4 linked regions of the Drosophila melanogaster genome follow. The protein of the gene in region 1 interacts with the protein of each later gene in a pairwise test. Each region holds a gene or a part of one and is shown in the gene's direction. Other genes may lie near its edges.

Region 1 (3,191 bases):
CTTGGCCGTTGAAGTTGCTGCTGCTGTTGTTGCTGCTGCTGCTGCTGCTGTTGTTGCTGCACCGACGTCACGTCTTTCTCGTGCAGCGCAGTCGGCTTGCAGCAACAACACAAAGCGCTGCTGGCGCCCGGTATAAAACGGATGAGTCGCAGCCTGTGGTTATCAGTCACCACCTGACAGTGCTCCGGTTTTAGTATCGCCTTTCGAGTGCAGCAGAGCTCAGCCCAGCCACCATGTCCGTCCTGAAAGTATTCGTAAGTGCGACAAGGATAACGTTCGAAAAAGTGTTAAGCCAAACCTCCGCGGAATGGAGCTGAAAAGGATTAAACTCATGTGGACTATCGTGAATAAAACTAACCAACTGAAACATAACAAACTCACTGAAAACTGACTTCGATAACCGAAGTATTGGAAATATACCACCAAGATCGCCTGATGGCTTAAAAAGTCTCGAATAGATATTTCAAGAAACTGCGAAAGCATTTATTTTGCAGAAATATAAATTCACCCAAAAATATTAGTTTATGTTTATCAATCGCGGACTAACATTTCATTAGATTACTTAGATTTCACCAGAATTGAACATAAATTTTGAAGTGCCAAATTAAAACTAATCACACTGATTAGTTAGCTATTTGCGTTAATCTAGCCGGACCTAACTTACTAACTTCCTTATCCCCTTTCAGATCTTCGTCGCCCTCTTCGCCGTGGCCTACTGCGCACCCAGTCCCGGCTTCTTTGGCAAACAGTGAGTATCGGCGGCGATCTGCACCTGAACTGATCCATAAATAACCCGAGCGAATCGATAAAAATACCCATTTCCCGCTTTATGCTAAGCTAACGAGCGGTCGCATGGCTTTTTAAACGCTGCGACTGCTCCGTGGGTCTATGAAATATGTGTCCGATTGCGATCGAATTGAGCAATCAAAACGCTTGTAGCACTTAGAGCCCCAGCCCCCTCCAGCAGTCTCTATATGGTGCCCACCACTGGCTACCATTGAACTTAGCCGATCTCGACTTGGCTTGGCTCGCGGCTTAGGAATTTCGCAGGCGGCGGTTGGCATTTAATTCAGCGTAATGCGCGCATAATTGTGCGAATCAATTGCCAATTGCCAATAGCCAATATGCAATAGCCATGTCTGCCAAGACGCTGGGTTCAAGCAACTGATTAGCTAACAGGCGATGGTACATGGCATTCGATCTAACCGATTTCACTTTCGATCCGCAGCGAGCACCACACCATCCACGTGCCCTACAAGGTGCACACGGTGCACCACCATCACGTTCAGAAGGTCCATGTGCCGGTGGTGAAGCACGTGCCGGTGCCCATTTACAAGGAGGTGCCCGTGCACCACGTCCACCACGAGGAGATCCCCGTGCCGGTGCACCACGTCCATCACGAGGAGATCCCGGTGCACCATGTCTTCGATGACCACCACGACCACCACGGCTGGAGCTCCCACCACGGACACGGCTGGCTGTAAGCCATCTGCCCGCTGGCCTGCTTGTCTTCAAACCCACCCACTCAGCCAGTCCCATCTGAAGCAGCCTGTAAATACTGTACAATGCTAAGTTAATGAATGTAAATAAATCACAATTCGACTGTACACAGAACAATCCTGGCGTATTTATGGCAGGATTCCCTGAAGTGGAACCTTAGTGTTTGATGGCTCACAAGTAATCTAATAAACCAAATACTTTTAATGGGAATGAAATAACGATTTTGTTATTTGAGGCTTTTTAAGTTGTTGCGATTAGGATAGATGGTTACTTTTGAAGACTCGAAACTTGCTTATCTCTATATTTATATACTATATAAGATGGTAGAATATAACCTACTTGTTAAGTAATATTTTTCAAAAGATTTTTGTTATCAGTGACAGAACTTGTACACATAAAATAAAAACCCCATATACTCAGATACTCAAATACTAATACCCTGATAGCAAATAGCCACAAATAGACACACTACCACATTTGCACCATGATATATCTACAGAGTTGCTGCTGCTGCGTGGATCTGCGAATCGGAACCATAGCAATAGGGATTTTGCACATTATAGCGGATATCCTTGGAGGCACATTTGTTGCTTTATTTGGGGAGTCGGGTAAGTGAAGCAGGATACTTGAGAGCAAGGATATGATCCTAACACCCATAGGTATTCCCGATTTGGGTCACACCCTATTCATTATCTTCGTTATGCTGCACATCCTGAGCTGCGTTTTCCTGATCATCGGCAGTATACGGGTGAGATACCAGTACAATTGATTAGTTTCAAATTATAATACTTATGATTTGATCTAGTTACGGAGCAGCTGGATGCTCTTCTACATAATAATGACTATGATCATGGCGGTAGCAATGCTCATATTGATAGTATCCGACGTCATACTCGCCGTTTGTTTCTGGGTAATGATCACGTATGCTATAATGTTCTGTAAGTAGCTAAGTGTATCTAAGATTTCACAATCCCTTAATTTTTCCCCATTGCTTCAGTTATTTGCCTTTATTCCTGGCTAGTGGCGTACTCTTTTTACGCCGCCTTAGGAGGACCTCTCTTCATCTGAATGTGATCCATTGCCAAGTAATAAATTGTACTGTGATTGTAGCAATAAAGTACTTGAATTTTTACAAATCGATCTGCATTTTAAGTGGAATAATCATCGTAGAGTACCGAAATAACTATATCTCATCTCATTTGGTTCAATCGTTTTGGATTCCAAGAATTCGAATATTCCTTTTCATGCAATAAGTTTCCCATAATCACTTCCCATTACATTTGTTTGTAAAATTACTTTCGTGAGTTGCACTTTTTTCACACACTGCCAAAAAAGAGCAAAAAAAATGGGGCAATGCTATATTGATTATAAATAAAGCAATGATTGCACGCATATTTCAGGTGAATTGGTCGGGAATGTGATAGGTTCGATTGGATCATTGCTCCATTAGTTAATCCCACTGCAAGACTGTAATTTGCAGTTGCACTTGACCTTGGGCCGGTCTCCCAAAGGCGGCAATTAAGCCGAAGTTTTGCAAGAACGACTTTCACAAAGCACTCACTTGACCAGCTCCGACTGAGGTCGACCGCCAGTCCGCGTCCGCTCCGCTCCGATCTCTCCCTTCCTACGATCTCCACGAACCCGATCCGATCCGATCCGGTCCGGTCCGTCCACTCCGCTCCTTGCCCAAG
Region 2 (5,035 bases), on another chromosome or scaffold:
CTTTGATGGCGAGATGAGGAGCGATGCTTGGGGCTGACTTGGCGTTAATTTCTCGGGTCTTTATGCTCCCTGATTCATTCAACTGTCGCTGTTGTTTCAATTTCAGTCCGCACCTTCGCTCCCCCGCTTTTCGCCAGTGTTGTTTGCTGTTTAACGAAGCAAATCAACAAATTGTAATGATGCCAAAGTCCTTTTCTGCGTTGCTTGCACTTTTGCTGCCGCCCTTCCACAAATTCTGTTTTGTTTTATTCTTCGTCTCAAATGGCAGACCCGAAACCCATTCAGATCAAGAATTTACACCCAAGTTGAATATGTCGAATTGGGGATACCCAGTGATTGGAAATCATTTGAATACGCTGGTAGTTAGTAGCACTGCATCCAACAGATACAAACTTGCTTGCAACTTGTTGTAAATAATTAATGAAGATTATTAATATACTAAGTAACAATCCAACGGATGCCTGATTACCACATTAGTGAGAGACCCATAAAGATTACAGATTGAGGGGTATCCCACAACCCGTGGCCCGAAACCCGCATCGGCAGCCCTTTTTTGCATGGTGCGCTCCACTTGGGGCGCAGTGTGGCGTAAAATGAATTGAGACATTCGGGCTCGCATAGAAAAACCCGGATCCTCCGGCCGAAAACCGCAGAGGTTCGGAGGTCCTTCAACAACAACTTCTGTGCTCTGCAGCGCCCTGAATGCAAAAGTGGCAAAAGTGGCAAAAGTTTTGCACCACTCGGCCGATGAACCACTTGAGCCCCCCACTTTGTTGTGCATTCAGGTGTGAAGTTTTTGGTCGGCGCACAAAAGTATGCTACAAATAATTAAATCATGCAAGGCAATTGCTGGAGTGTGTTTGTGTGGAAAGAGAGAGAGAGAGAGCGCGAGAGGGAGATGAAGAGACCGGAAACACTCGCTCCTTCTCCCTCGCGGCGAGACAAGTTCAATGCCGCCTTAAGGTCCTTGTCAGCCTGCCATCTAGTTTGATATTATCTAATCGATATTTATATTCCTAGCTCGCTGCCACCGCTCCTCCCGACCTTTCATATTCCTCCCTCGTCTGTTTTTCACGAATTGGAATTTGCATATGACACAGGAGCTGTGGACCCACAAAAACAAGGAGGCGAAAGCCTGTAAGAACATTGGAACGAGGCCGAAACGAAATCGCCAGTGGCAAAACACGCTGGCCTCTTCCATCACGCTGGTTTACTTTTTGCGATGGCCGGCATTTCCGCTTCCGCTCAAAATGCACACCGAAACGTTCAATTACGGAGCCAGAGAGAAAGTTCAACTTTAATAATTTGTTTTTTGTAAGTGAACTGTACGTTTTCCGGCACACTCTGAATCCAGTTTTTTTTTTCGAAAAAAAACAATGTTATTGGAAGTAGTAACATCAATATAATTCCATTTTTGAAAACTTTTATTATGTAGATAAATAGAGAACTATAAAAAACAGATAGCCAACTCGTACTTTAAATTTTTTTCGTGCTTTATATTACTCTTACCAGATAATTTAACAAAACCCTTGCTATAAAACAAAGGAAAGACCACGAAAAGCAACCATATGGAACCGTCAGAAACCAAAACTCACGTCGAGATAAATTGAAGTTTATTTGCTCGACTGCTTGCGGCTGCTGCACTTTTTCCAACTTTTCTTCTCCTGTTTTTGGCAGACACTATTTGCTCTTCTCACCTGCATAATTTATAAGCTAGAAATCATTTGCATGCAGTTTCCTTGCACTTTGTTTGCCTCCGTTTTCCGATTTTCCTTATTTTTTTTTTGAACAGGAAGCGTGGAACACAAGCTGCCAAGAATGTGAAATGTTTGTGTTTGACTTTGGCTTCGATATGTTGCACTTAAAACAATTGACGGCAAACAGGGGGAAGGTATCCTGTGATTTGGTCTAAACATGAAAACTGGTCAAAATGTATCTCTTCCGTTCGTTTTCCGACGCTCTCGCCAGAGGAAAGCTCTTCGGGAAAAGCTCCACTCGGATTTTCCTTATAAACGTAGAGCACTGATAAAAACTCGAGCAGTTACCGTTTCGGTCGCGTAACGACAGCAGCAAAATCCGAGAGCTGCGTTCGTCATTAAAGCCAAAACAATCAAAAACAACAAGACCGAATATATGAAAGTAACAGTTCAGAAAACAGACGAAATTCTCACCGCAACTCGCCGGTAAAAAGTGGGAATAAACAAATTGGATATACAATTAATTTTGCGCGGAGAAAAAAACTGAGCGAAGCAAACAGAAAGTGTTTTGTTAGTGCAAAGTGTGAAACTCAAATAAACTTTACAATTGGTGAATTAATAAACCGAAGCTCCACAAATGAGGTAAGTCAAAAGAAGCGTAAAAAGAGCTATAGAAGCTGAGTCAAATTAAAAAACCCCAGAGGAAATGCGCTAATTAGGAAGGTAACAAATGCTGAAAGAAGAAAAAGTTTTAATGTGCCATGAGATAAAATTAAGCAGATGGCAGCTTAAAAGTAAAAGTGGTAGGACCTATAAATGTTCAAGGATTAATCCACAACATATTTACTAAACAAATGCAACAAATAAGCCTAGCTAAATAGTCCTTAGTTTTTTACAGTTTTAATCTAAGGTCTTCAGCAACTGTTATTCACTTCAAAATCACTTTCATTTACTCTTCAAAATATACAAGTGCAAAATACCTTTTCATTTAAAAGTTGATATTCATGCACTTCAGCCCCTAACACTCGTTCAAAATTCTGCGAAGCGTACCGAAATCACATACAGAAATCACTCAAAAAATGTTTTATTTCGTCTGCCTCCATTTCACAAAAAAAAAAACGGTATAAAATCCCAGGGGGAAGTGGCAATTTAACGGCAGTTTGTACCCAGACAACCTTTAAAGCCCTGTTTCGACTGCCTTTAGCCCGCTCCGAAATGGGTCTTTTGAGTTTTGCAGCTACTGTTGGCCTGGTGGAACGTATGGGCTTAAGTTAAGCACGCAGGACCAAGGTTGGGATAAAAAATAAATTTGGAGCACGAAAAGTAAAAGCGATGCTCAAGTGGCACGGCGCTTAACACAAATTAGACGCACTTAATTACGGCCCAAACAGTCGCAGCTAGCGGTCGTAAAATGTATAAAAAATATTATTGGAACCACAACCGAGCCAACATCAGGCAAATATATTTAAGCAGTTCACCAGAGAGAGAGTGGTTTAAGAAGTGGCTGTGGGTCTGCAGGAGGGTACTTTCAATTTCGGGCATTCAGAAGTTGCGGCTTAAAACTCAATTAAACGAATTGGCAAAAATTTAATTACAATTTCAGTTTCCTTTTCGTTTTTAAAGGAGATCACCAAGGACCCTTCGCACAGAAAAAGAGCCAGGGAAAAAGAGGATGGGCGATGCGGAATGGGGCTGAATGGATGCTAGATAGACAAGGCAGCGGGCAAATTGTTTTGCCAGCTGCTGGCAAAGTTCATAAAAAACTAATAGTAATGCAAACTGAAAACAATTAACTGCGTTTATGAGAGGGAAATGACTCAAGCTCGAAATGCTTGGGATTAAAGAGAAACTTTGATAATAAAGCCATCGTCTTATGAAATATATAATTAATATGTATTATTATAAAAACAAACTTTGATTGTCATATTAACTTCAAAGAAAATGTGAATGCAAATTTCACAATTCTATATGCACACTGCCAATCTAAAATCTAAAAGCTAATGGTATTTAATATAAAAAGTTTGAACTTTAGAAAACATACAATAAGAGCTCGTTGAAATGTTCTTGTATCGAAATAAATAGTAGCTAATTACATATTTAAATTTCGAAAACTTACAAGTCTGCCCACCCATATTGGCCAACCAAAGTTTTCCCGCCCGAAGCTCAACCCTTCCGCTAATGCCAACAACTTCGGGAACAACAACAGCCATTTCCTGTTCCTCTGGGCCCCAAGTTAGCCACGTTTTATCTGCCGAACAATAGGCTCATTAGTGGAACAGGCCACACCAACGAAAATGCGCCACGCCTCTTGGGCAAACTTTTCTTAATATCAACGCTGGCTTCCGAAAAAATACATAAAATAATATTTGTGTTGCCAGTAAGTTTTAGGGGCAATTAATTCGGGCGGGGGAAACTTTAATGACCAAAAAAATCCCCAGTGAACTTACGCCATTTGCCATAATTGGAAATGAAAATATTTATTGAATTATTCAGGGTAATGCTCCAGATATTACAAGTTCCGCAATGAATTCGTTTTAAAGAACATTTAATTGAAGACAAGTCTAAAGCTTGAATCTGTTAAAGAAGAGGTTTAAGCACGGGGTCCTTGGGCCGAAAACTTTTCCATCAACTCAAGAGTTGGCCCGTCAATCGCAATTTTCAAGTAGCGACAAAGTAGCGCAGAATGAATATGCAAAATACTTCTTTGGAATAGACTCGACTTTCAGCGCCTGAGAATCCTTGGCATCAACCCCCTGAAACAAGTAATTCCACTTTATTTAAGTTTTTTTCTTTAGCAATAAACCGCTTTCGACCAGAAACGGATGCCAATGCGTTTAAGTTTAGTTCAGTTCTGTTGAGGCTAAGAAAAAAGTGCGCGAAAACTGCATCAGAATGGAAATCTAGAAAAATGCTTTGCAGACTTTCAACTGTACTTTTTCTCTCTGGGGCACTAATAAAAATAGCGTGCAAAAGTTTTGTCTTCTGCACTTCCTTGCACTAAAGTGCAAATCTTTTTCGGAGGGCTCACCGAGTCCTTATGCACTGAAAAGGGATCAATGTGTCCTCGGCAGAAAATCGAAAAGCAAAGTAAATGCACTTCACATTCAATATAACAATATACGAAGTAAATCCAATATAACGCGTTATGATCTCAGAGTAAAGAAGCATAATGTTTTCTCACTTAAGGTGATTTAATAAAGTAGTTTCACTGTTCTTTTTGCCCAAACACAATGCGTTTTAACCACTTCTGAACTTATAAAAACCATAAAAAGAGCACGAACAAAATAACGACCGAAAGTGTCAGGATCTTAATTCTTGACAGCACTTTGTGCACTTAA
Region 3 (4,884 bases), about 14 Mb from region 1:
TAAATCCTCGCTCCGATTTACTCATCAGCAACAACGTGCGCTCGCCTCCGACCGCCATAAAATTGCAATCGTTTGGATTGCCAGCGATGCACTCGGCGCCTCCATGAGATCCCGGGATTGTGGCCCTGCCCTCGATCACTGTACTGGTCTTGTCCAGCACCAACATAATAAGGGTTTCCTCCGGCGGGCGGGTGATCAGGGCCACCGATCTGGAGTCATTGGTAAAGATCATCTGCTGTATCTCCGCATTGCGATGGTTGCTCGGCAGCTCCAAGTGACGTCGCTTCTTCAGGGTGGCCAACTCATAAATGGATATATACCGACCACTAATAGAAAGTTAAAAAGAGTCCATTCATTTGAACTATGTTAGGTTGAGTTATATAAAATATAAAGCATCTGAAATGAAGCTCTTACTTTTTCGAGTGCCTTTCCACCACCGCCAGTAGTTTGCGATGCGAACTTATGGATATCACCTCGGGTCGCGTATCCTCCGGCAGCCTGCAGGATTACAAGGGTTAAGATATTCCTTAACAGTTATAAAACGTGGAGTACCCACCTGAGAAACCTTTGCTTGTTTTGGACGTAGTCGTGGAACGCTAGAACTCCCTCCACCGGATAGATGACCTCCTTGGTCAGGTTGAAGTGGATGTTGCCAATGACATCCGAACGCAGTCCGTAGATGAGACGTGGCCTTATTGTCACCGTGCTGTTGGAAAGAGAGGCTCGCTTCACATCCTCCTTGTTGGCTTCGTCCATCCTCGTTGAGTGTTGTACAAAATATATGCACTGAGACCCGGGATTACAATTTTAGCTGGCAGACAGACAAATTGGAGGAACTGAAATTCGATCAAACAACCTGGGGCAAATCGTTAGGGAGTCCTGCCAGCGACAGCAAACTCCATGGCATCCATGGGAAGTGAGAGTGAGAGCCTAACAACACCAGGCTCTGGGTCTATTCCAATCTGAACGGAGCCGCGAGCGTCCATGAATAAGTAATTAAGCGCCGCTAAGTATGCTTTTAATTTAAACCCTCGAGTGACAAGGGAGGGGTCTGTGATGAAAGCTAAGCGCTTGATAAAAACAACATTGAAATTTCCGCCGAAACCGGCGCTCGTTTCCTGGCCAACAATAGAGCAACAGCCACACCGTCGCACTTGAACTCTGTCAATGCGCTTTTCGCTGAATATGGGTCTGCCAGTCACTGTGTCACTCTGTCAGTCAGTCAATCAGCCAGTCAGACAGCCAGCCAGTCAGTTGGGTCTCCAAGCATTGTGTCATCCCCCAAAATCCCCACAAGTAGTTGGCGGCTATCGTCTCCTTGGCACTGCGAACACGACCTAACGCAAGAAATTGTTAGTTAAAGAAAAGCTGCTCGGCCCCTCTTCAGCTGGGAAATTCTTGGGAAAGGGGGAAAGCTTTTGTGTCCACAATCCTACAAGTTGGATATGCCGAAAATGGTTTGAGCTCTCCCAGTTGGGGAAATAAATTGGGTGGGGAATTGGCTTGATTAATGGTTTTCCTTTCAGACAACACAATTTTCATGTGTATAAAGTATTTAATAGCAGTATTGTCCAATAGAATAATTTCAAACTCAACTACGTTGGGGTGAACTTTGGCGGTACTTTTGTGATTAATAGTTATTAGAATTAGAAAAGACATATCAGAAAGAAAATTTTTTTAAAAATATAACAACAATTTCAAATTTGTCTGTAGTTCATTAAAGATTTCCATCAAGTACACCCCCTTCGAATTAGCCATAAAATAGTCAAATAAGCATCTCCAATCCGTGCACCGCTGTCGTGGAAAGCTTTCGCTCTTTCGGCTTTCTCGGTTCAGTTTCGTTTTCATTTTCCGCTGTCCATTTCAGTAGTAGTTTTCGCGTCGGCCGCAGCACAACGAGCAAACGGAAACCGGAAACGGAAGTGAAAGCAAGCGAAAGGCAGTGGCTCCAAAGCACAGTTAATCGGGCAGAGAGCCGAGTGCAGACAACAGTCAACTGAGAACTGAGCGCAGTGAAGTGTTTGTTTTCGCCGTTATCAGTGGATGCACGCCTTTCCACCTCCGATTGCGAGTAGGGATCGGGCCAGGGACTGGGATTCCGAATCCTCATCCGCACTCGCATCAGCATCCACATCGGATTCAAAACCAAAATCAGTATTGTATCCAGGCTCGCGACCCGCACGGAGGAGGCGGCGAGCCGGAGAGGCGTGTCACTAGCAGGTGGCCGAGCCGGTTAACCAGAGTCCGACGGCAAAAAGTAAATAAAAAAAAAAAAGAACTTGTAAATTGTGTGACAGTACATAGCCTTTGAGGGCTGAATTGTGTGTGTTTTGCAGATTTCAAACGTGCCGCGAGCTGTTAAAACTTTTGTTTGTCCACTGGACGAGAGAATTTCCACACAGTTATCATTTATCTGAAGCAATATTTTTCTTTTTCATATATAACAGATAGTTGGAAGCTAGTTTATACTCAAAGTTACATTGTAATTAATATTATTATTGATCTAGAAAAACTATTAAATGGCCTTATAGCACTTTTATTGTTCTCTATCGATTTACGACTTGGCCGAATACTTGTCTGGTTATTCTCGAATGATTTGAAAACTATTTTGAAACAATCAATGCTTGGGCTTAAAAATAACTTCGTGCCACAGTTCTTACAAATGTGAAAGCCATCGGATCTCCGAATTTCTTTTCTGTGTGTACATAAGTAGGTGTGCTTGTGATTCTGTGACAGTCGCTCAATTAACAGTGAAAACTTCTGAGTCCTGAGTCCTTTGCGGCTGTTTTCAAGGAGGCAACTGAATTTTAAGCCAATTAAATTGCGCAAATCAGAATCGGAACTGGGAAAAAAGGGAACGGAAAATGTGCGATGAAAACGCAAATGAAATGGAATGGAAAATGGCCTAATGGACTCTGTCAGCCAGCAACTCAACCTGAAAAGCAGCACAGCTGTGGCAATTAAAAAGTAATTTTAATGCTCCTGTTTCGTTTGTTTTGCGAAAACAGGCAGCGAATTCACAATTAACCTGTGTGTTTTTGAATTTTTGTGTGGGTTAATACCTCGCCCTTGCACTGCTGTAAATCTTTTTCATCTCTCAATTTCCCCTGTTTTATTTGGCCATTCGAACCGTAGCGAGTCGCACGTAGTAGGTTATTATAAACAAATCGTTCTCCACAAAGAATCGTATATGTATGTATATATGCATATTTATACCGATATCCGCACATTCACCGCAACTAGAACAGGTCAAATGAAAATCGGATCGGCGGCAAAATGCCCGGAAAACGTAAATGTTCGTTTAAATTTAAATCCGTCGCAACCACAGTCGCCGCATTGCGTGCATTGCTCCACCATGTGGCAGTACATCTAGATATATGCACCGATTCTATATATGTTTACATATATATATATATTAACACGACTCGCTCCCCGTATTTGTGGACTCGCACGAAGTCGAGCAAAATGCCGCAAAGTTTGACCGATTATAAATGGAAATTTCTTCATCGCTGAAAGTTGTTTGTGCTCATTAGCAATCTGTAAATAAACAAAATTTCATCGTAATGGAATGAGTTTACGCATAAATAAAAACAGCACGAAGAAATCCATCAAAAAGTCTAAAGAACAACGTGAAGTTTTCTCATAATGGAGATCATAATAAGCTGAAGTGTACACACATCGAAAGCTATTATTTTGATTATCCCATAAAAACTTGAGTCCAATCAAAAATTCTTTCTTTACACGGTCATAAGAATAAAATTTGGAATGAAATGTTTACAGGTAACTTAGCCATTCGAACTGAGGTAATCTAATTGGCTTGTTAAATGCGAGAAGCATAAACTATTTATCTTGTCAATGTATTTTTTTACTATTTTACTGTGCTAAAAAGTTTATATTTTTCGGAGACTGTATTTTAACTTTCAAACTTTTCACACTCAACTGCGCATTGCGGAAAAGAAAAATCCTGCAGAGAATCTGAAATGATACCATGTTGAACTTTCATTGTTGCAATTATTTTTTTATCAGCTCCCATCCTCGCGAGCTTTAAGCTGAAAGTAGTACTCAATTAAAGCCAACTTTAGCCTCCCATTACGCGCTTAATTTTTTATCATCATCCTTGGCAGCCTGTTTCCCGCATTTCCCCCAACTCTTCACTGCACTCCTTTCATCAGCGACCTTCCCCACATCTTCTGTTCCCAGCATACCTGTGGAAAATCTCGCCGAAATTGGAGTCAAGTGTTTTCCCTTATTTTCTCTAGCCTTTCGTTTTTTGTTTTACCGCCAGGACATAATAGCATGCGCCCGCCCTTTCTTTCGCCATCTCTTTCGCTCCGAAACGTTTCACTTACACACACCAGTGCTCGCACTTGTACAAATATACACTCTGCACTGGGAAAAATTTCTTATTGTTCACCACAAACTCTATTTAACTTCAAGCAACACTAAATTATAGATCATGACGTGCTGGGTTTAAATTTCAGGTCATTTCCTAATTTAAAATTTTTTTGAAAATTTTACTCCTAATACGCATAAAACATATAATTTAATAATGAGCTTATTTTAAGTTGCAGTTGCTGAGACACACACTGATAGGCTTTATATGGCTCTTGGACTGGCATTATTGCTCATCCGCCATGTTGGCTTGCCAGTTTAGTCATTAGTTCCAGGTCAAATGTTGACTTTTGAGCAGTGTGCACCGGTGTAAAAGCTGAAGCGCAGCACACACAAGCCTTTGCCCCGGTATTTCCCATTTTCTCCTAGCCCTTTCCTTTCCTCTCCATTCCATTCCTTTCCTTTTGGCTTGGCTCTCGGCTTTCGGGCTTCAATTGTAGCGACCAAGTTGACCTTTTTGTTAATAGCGCTCACACACCGCGCCACACGCGA
Region 4 (4,763 bases), on another chromosome or scaffold:
AAAGTTTCTTGAAACAAATTAGTTAAATGTTGTAAATGTCTAAGTTGCTACCACTGCTACTACTAGAACGCGCCCATCCCCTCCCATATTTACCTTTAAGCTACAGTAATTAAGTGATGAGCAGAGGTGTAGAGTAAGGAGTCGAAGTTGAAAGAAAGCAAAAAATACATTTTGTACATACATATCGCCGTTGGTCGATATACATCTAAACATAATTTAATTTTTTGTTACTTTTAAGTAAATTATTTTTGGCGACCTAAGTAAATTAAAATTAACGCAATATGCAACAACACACATAAGTATACAATTAATTAAATTAAACGAAAATTACGATTTATTAAACGATGTCATAGAACGGAGAGCCACTGATAGTGAGAGAAATCTGTAAAATAAATATTTAAACAAATTATATATTATCTATATATGAGTACCAGAACAAGAATGTCAAAAAAGAGAAGCATGTAAAAATAAAAAATATATTACGAGTAAAACAAAAAAAGATAATCGAGCGAAAGGAACGTATCATTAACAGGAAAAATTAAAGAAAAATACAAAAACATTTCAAAGTAACAAAATTACGATAAAATTTGTTTTTATTTTGGTTCGTTTGGTTATTACAATTGGCAATATCTAACTGATTGGGTAATAAGTGCGCGTATCCCAGTATCCAACGTTGCAAAATGATACAACATTTCAATAGGTTTCAAAATCTACGTAAGATACACATAAAACGACCTGACTACTTTGTTCTACCCTACGCTTGTGCTGCAGTACCTAAAATCGAAGAAAGAGTACAGTGAACAGGGCTAAGATATAGAAAGACAGCTCTATTTCTGCAATCCAAAAAGGGCTTGCCCTAATTAAAATAATTGCAAATGCATTGCGCTTCAAATCCAGAAGCCTTTTTTACCTTTTATAGCCTACAGGAAAAAAGAAAAAAGAGGAGATAACGGAAAGACCCATAAAATCGAAAAGTGCATAGGTAAACCTGTAGGACGATTAGTGGAATACTAAAATCATCATATGTTTTAATCAATAAGTATTCCAATTTTACCAGGGGCAAGTGTATGCGAATTCTTTCAGTACGAGTATTTAATATATTTATTTTTATCATAATTGTATAAAAACCTGAAGCTCCAAAATAACTTGATCATTTTGAGAAAAATATTAATAAAAATTATTTTTTTGTTTATTTTCTTATTATTTAGTTACATATAATTTTATTTTATGTTTATGTTTTTATAATTTTTATTTTATTATTCATTATATTATAATAAATAGATTCGTTGAATAGTATTAATATTGGATTTGAATGCAGCGATGCGTTTTACGCATTTCAAATCCGAAACTCGCTTAGATCACACGACGTAACTTTATAAGATATATAAATCAAAAATAACTGTTATTTTGAAAGAGAAAAAATGATGTTGTTTGAAATAAAGGAACAAAAAAGCGAAAAACAGAAAAAGCAATCGGTTAAGTTTTAAATTCTTTTTGGGCGCCAAAAATGAATCGGATAAGCCAAAAACAACAAACAATAGGCTTTTCGATTTTAAGAAGGGTCACATTTCCGATAACAATGAAAACTCACATTTAAATTGGTCACACTAAGTGGGGCGCCAAGAGAAAATATCGATATCGATTCCGACTGTTGTGTTAGACTTTACAAATAAATTACAAAGAAATCGATCAAAATAAAATCATGGAAGAAAGTCAGCCAAGGTATGGCGCTATGTGGACATTCAAGCTGGTGGCACCATACGTAATTGGCGGCTACCTATGCGGCCTCGCGGTAACGCTCGCATGGAACTGGTGGCAGCTGGGCCACTTGGTTCTGGGTCTTAATCTCACCTTCGCGATTCCGGTGGCGCTTGTTCTGGCGGTCTTTTACAGCAGGCCCGTAAGGTAAGAACTACCTGAAAAAGCCCAAAACGATTTGTGTCTAACAGTGTTCCCTCACTGGCTGCCAGGTGCATTGTGACTTTGGCCCTTCCCTCGCTGTGCAGCTCTCGGGGAAGGGCGTTCCTCATCAGCCTTGCCTTTGTTATTGCCGCAGTTGGGCCTACGGCGAACATTCTAGCCAATTTGAAGGTGATGCTCCGCAGCCTCGCTTGCGGACAGGAGCTATTGCGTCAGGCGCTTGGCCAGATGTTGGACGTAATACTGGAGCCGGTGAATGCCATCCAGCTAGCGGTGGATCTCTTGATGCGGGAAGTGCGTCGGGTGCTCAAGCTGGCCATGGTAGTGCTGTTACGCATTCAGGACCAATTGATCGCAATTAGTGAGTATCTGTATTAAAAAGTGCTGCAGTTTTCTCTGCTGATTCATTTTTGTAGTTAAAACCCTGAAGAACTGCGCCGCTTGGCTGAAATCCATCGTAGACCTGTGCAACACAGAAATGGGCACTCCCTGGGCACGTTGCAAAAAGACGGCGCATCACGCAATGATCAGGTGCCAGTCAAAGATGGGCGTATTCAAGGCGCTATGCCATGCTGCAAAGCTGTTTCTGGCCCTCTGCTATCCAGCCAAGATCATCGATGTGTTTTGCAGCGGTTACTGGGATCTCAGCTGGGGTCTTCTTGATAAAATCGCAGAACGTGAGAGTGTAAACAACGATCGGTACTTTGGTTATTAGTTATACGATCTCGCAGGCTACCGTGAATTTGTGCGGCACATCGAGGAAATGTTTGATGCCAATATCACTTTTGAGCACGAATTTTTCTTCGATACAAACTCTTCAAAGAGCCTGACGGACGTGGGGGAGGAAATTTTACAGGATATTAACAAGCGTCTGTCGTCGTTTATCTTCTTGAGCAGCTTTGTGGACATTCTCTGCTGGGTCATGGTGGTTACTGTATTTTTTAAGTAGGCAAGAGCTTAATCATCTTATTAATTTAGTGTTGGTGATGCCTCAATTGTTCCCATCAGAGCCACCATCTTCTACCTTCGATATATGCACAGCCGGCAATTTCAGAATGTGTTCTTGACAAAGATACTAAGTGATATCGACCGGCGGCACGAAAAGCACGGTTACGATCCACTGCTACCCCTTCATCAGCTTGAAAGGGCAAAGTATATGAAGGTAAGGTTTCCCTACGTTTCCCTGACATAATATTACAATGATTTCATTGCAGCTTACTAGCTTGCGTTTGACTTTGTTTGAGTTCGTGTCCATTGTTGAGAACGCCTGTTTCATGGCCACAACCTGCTTGCAGTTGTTTGCGATTTGCTTTCTGGATTACGGGCTGTTCTGGCTGTTGGCAACTATATCCCTCCATGGCCACCAAGAGACTGGGCTGGAGGTGCCCGCTTACGTCGATCTAGAGATTAAGGGTGGGGGCTTTGTGGCGGATGTCATGCGGGGAATCGCTAATGCCTTTCGACCCTTGACGCAAAAAAGCATTTTAGACGTGAATCCTTGCCTCCCGCTGCCCGTGAAACCTGATTATGCGGAGTATCTAATTATATTATTACTCTGTCTGCTCGCTTGGCTGATCCTTTTGGCCGAGCCGTATATTTTGCGTACTCGCCATCTTATAATGGCCCACTTTTATCCAAAACGCGCCAAGGAAAGAGGCATGTTTCTGTACAACATGATTTCCGAAGATAGAAGTAAGAAAGTACATACCTTTTAAAGTTGTTCTAATGTATTCTCTCCAGCAAGCATTTTTAAGTTTATCCGCCGCAGAAAGCGTAATGAGTTTAACCACACACGGAATGTGAAGCACACCAGAAACTACACTTGGCTGAACAATAGATTCTCCTGTTTAATGTGCATGTGCTCCTGCTGCTCATCCTGTCAAAGCACTGAGAGGTGCACCATATGTGGCCGATCTCTGACTCTGTAAGTAACTCCAATCGTTAAACACACTCCGGGTTACAGTTGGATGTCCCCTTTTTAGTTCAAATCGTAACCCCTGCGACACTCCTGGATGCAAAGGGGTTTATTGCGGTAAATGCTTTGAAAAGTCACACAATAAGTGTTGTCTGTGCAATCGACCAGTGGATTATGGTGATTTTTCCGACGTTACTGAAGTAGAGTGAGTAAAAACCAGGGTTTAATCGACTATTCTTAATGGTTTTGTTTGTGCAGCGACTCTTCGGACTATTCTGAAAAAGAGTCTTTTAGCGAAAGGCAGTACAGGAAGACCTGTGGAGGACAACGCTAGCAACGAGGGAAAAACAGTTAAACATAGAGGTTGTGAGCGCATACACGTTATGCAGATAGCTCAGAAATATAATATTTCCACCTATTAAATACCTGATATTCCAACAATTTAATATATGGTTATAGGTGAGTTATTCAATAAAAATAACTCTTGTTATTGCTGATCTGATGTCAGTGCAATTCCTACCCTTCACCGCCCATGGAAGTCGCAATACGGGGACTGCGTTGTTTGGCGAGCTTCTGGGCTGAAATTATTATTTAATTAAATACTACAGCGACAAATGGCTACACAGCAATTCAGAAAATAACCTTGTTCTCACCCCTGTTTTCGATTTTTTCTTTTTTATCAAAGGCTTGTTTGCTTGATACCTATTTTTATTTCTTCTTGGGCTATGACTGTAACGTGCTGTTGAACATCTTCTCATTATTGTTGACTTTCTCTTTACGACTGTTTAATAAATTCTGCTCTTCCCCCACATGCGGCTTCCATTTACCAAGCTTATACGAGCATTTATTATATAACACCCGTCGACTTGCACCGATCCCTCTAGACCCTATATCGACCCCTATCCACTTGACCACCATCGTTGACAGT

Evidence for each region.
Region 2: the proteins of CG43183 (region 1) and CG32204 interact in a two-hybrid assay, tested with the Drosophila melanogaster proteins (one large-scale study listed by BioGRID).
Region 3: the proteins of CG43183 (region 1) and CG33143 interact in a two-hybrid assay, tested with the Drosophila melanogaster proteins (one large-scale study listed by BioGRID).
Region 4: the proteins of CG43183 (region 1) and CG6845 interact in a two-hybrid assay, tested with the Drosophila melanogaster proteins (one large-scale study listed by BioGRID).

The regions. Positions count from the first base shown.
Region 1 is NT_033778.4:8,590,337-8,593,527, forward strand, and holds CG43183 (uncharacterized protein), read left to right. Parts: upstream 1-1,858; 5' UTR 1,859-1,984; coding exon 1,985-2,108; intron 2,109-2,159; coding exon 2,160-2,248; intron 2,249-2,305; coding exon 2,306-2,438; intron 2,439-2,497; coding exon 2,498-2,568; 3' UTR 2,569-2,633; downstream 2,634-3,191. Other genes in the region: CG14752 (uncharacterized protein), read left to right, coding at 234-254, 687-748, 1,229-1,484.
Region 2 is NT_037436.4:18,943,037-18,948,071, reverse strand, and holds the start of CG32204 (uncharacterized protein), read left to right. Parts: upstream 1-2,033; 5' UTR 2,034-2,339; intron 2,340-5,035.
Region 3 is NT_033778.4:22,612,465-22,617,348, forward strand, and holds the start of CG33143 (uncharacterized protein), read left to right. Parts: upstream 1-1,863; 5' UTR 1,864-2,257; intron 2,258-4,884. Other genes in the region: tous (testes of unusual size), read right to left, coding at 1-326, 415-498, 557-756.
Region 4 is NT_037436.4:144,802-149,564, forward strand, and holds CG6845 (uncharacterized protein), read left to right. Parts: upstream 1-1,631; 5' UTR 1,632-1,702; coding exon 1,703-1,905; intron 1,906-1,970; coding exon 1,971-2,281; exon of another isoform or gene 2,282-2,336; coding exon 2,337-2,597; intron 2,598-2,651; coding exon 2,652-2,865; exon of another isoform or gene 2,866-2,928; coding exon 2,929-3,082; intron 3,083-3,134; coding exon 3,135-3,612; intron 3,613-3,660; coding exon 3,661-3,844; intron 3,845-3,902; coding exon 3,903-4,040; intron 4,041-4,093; coding exon 4,094-4,169; 3' UTR 4,170-4,255; downstream 4,256-4,763.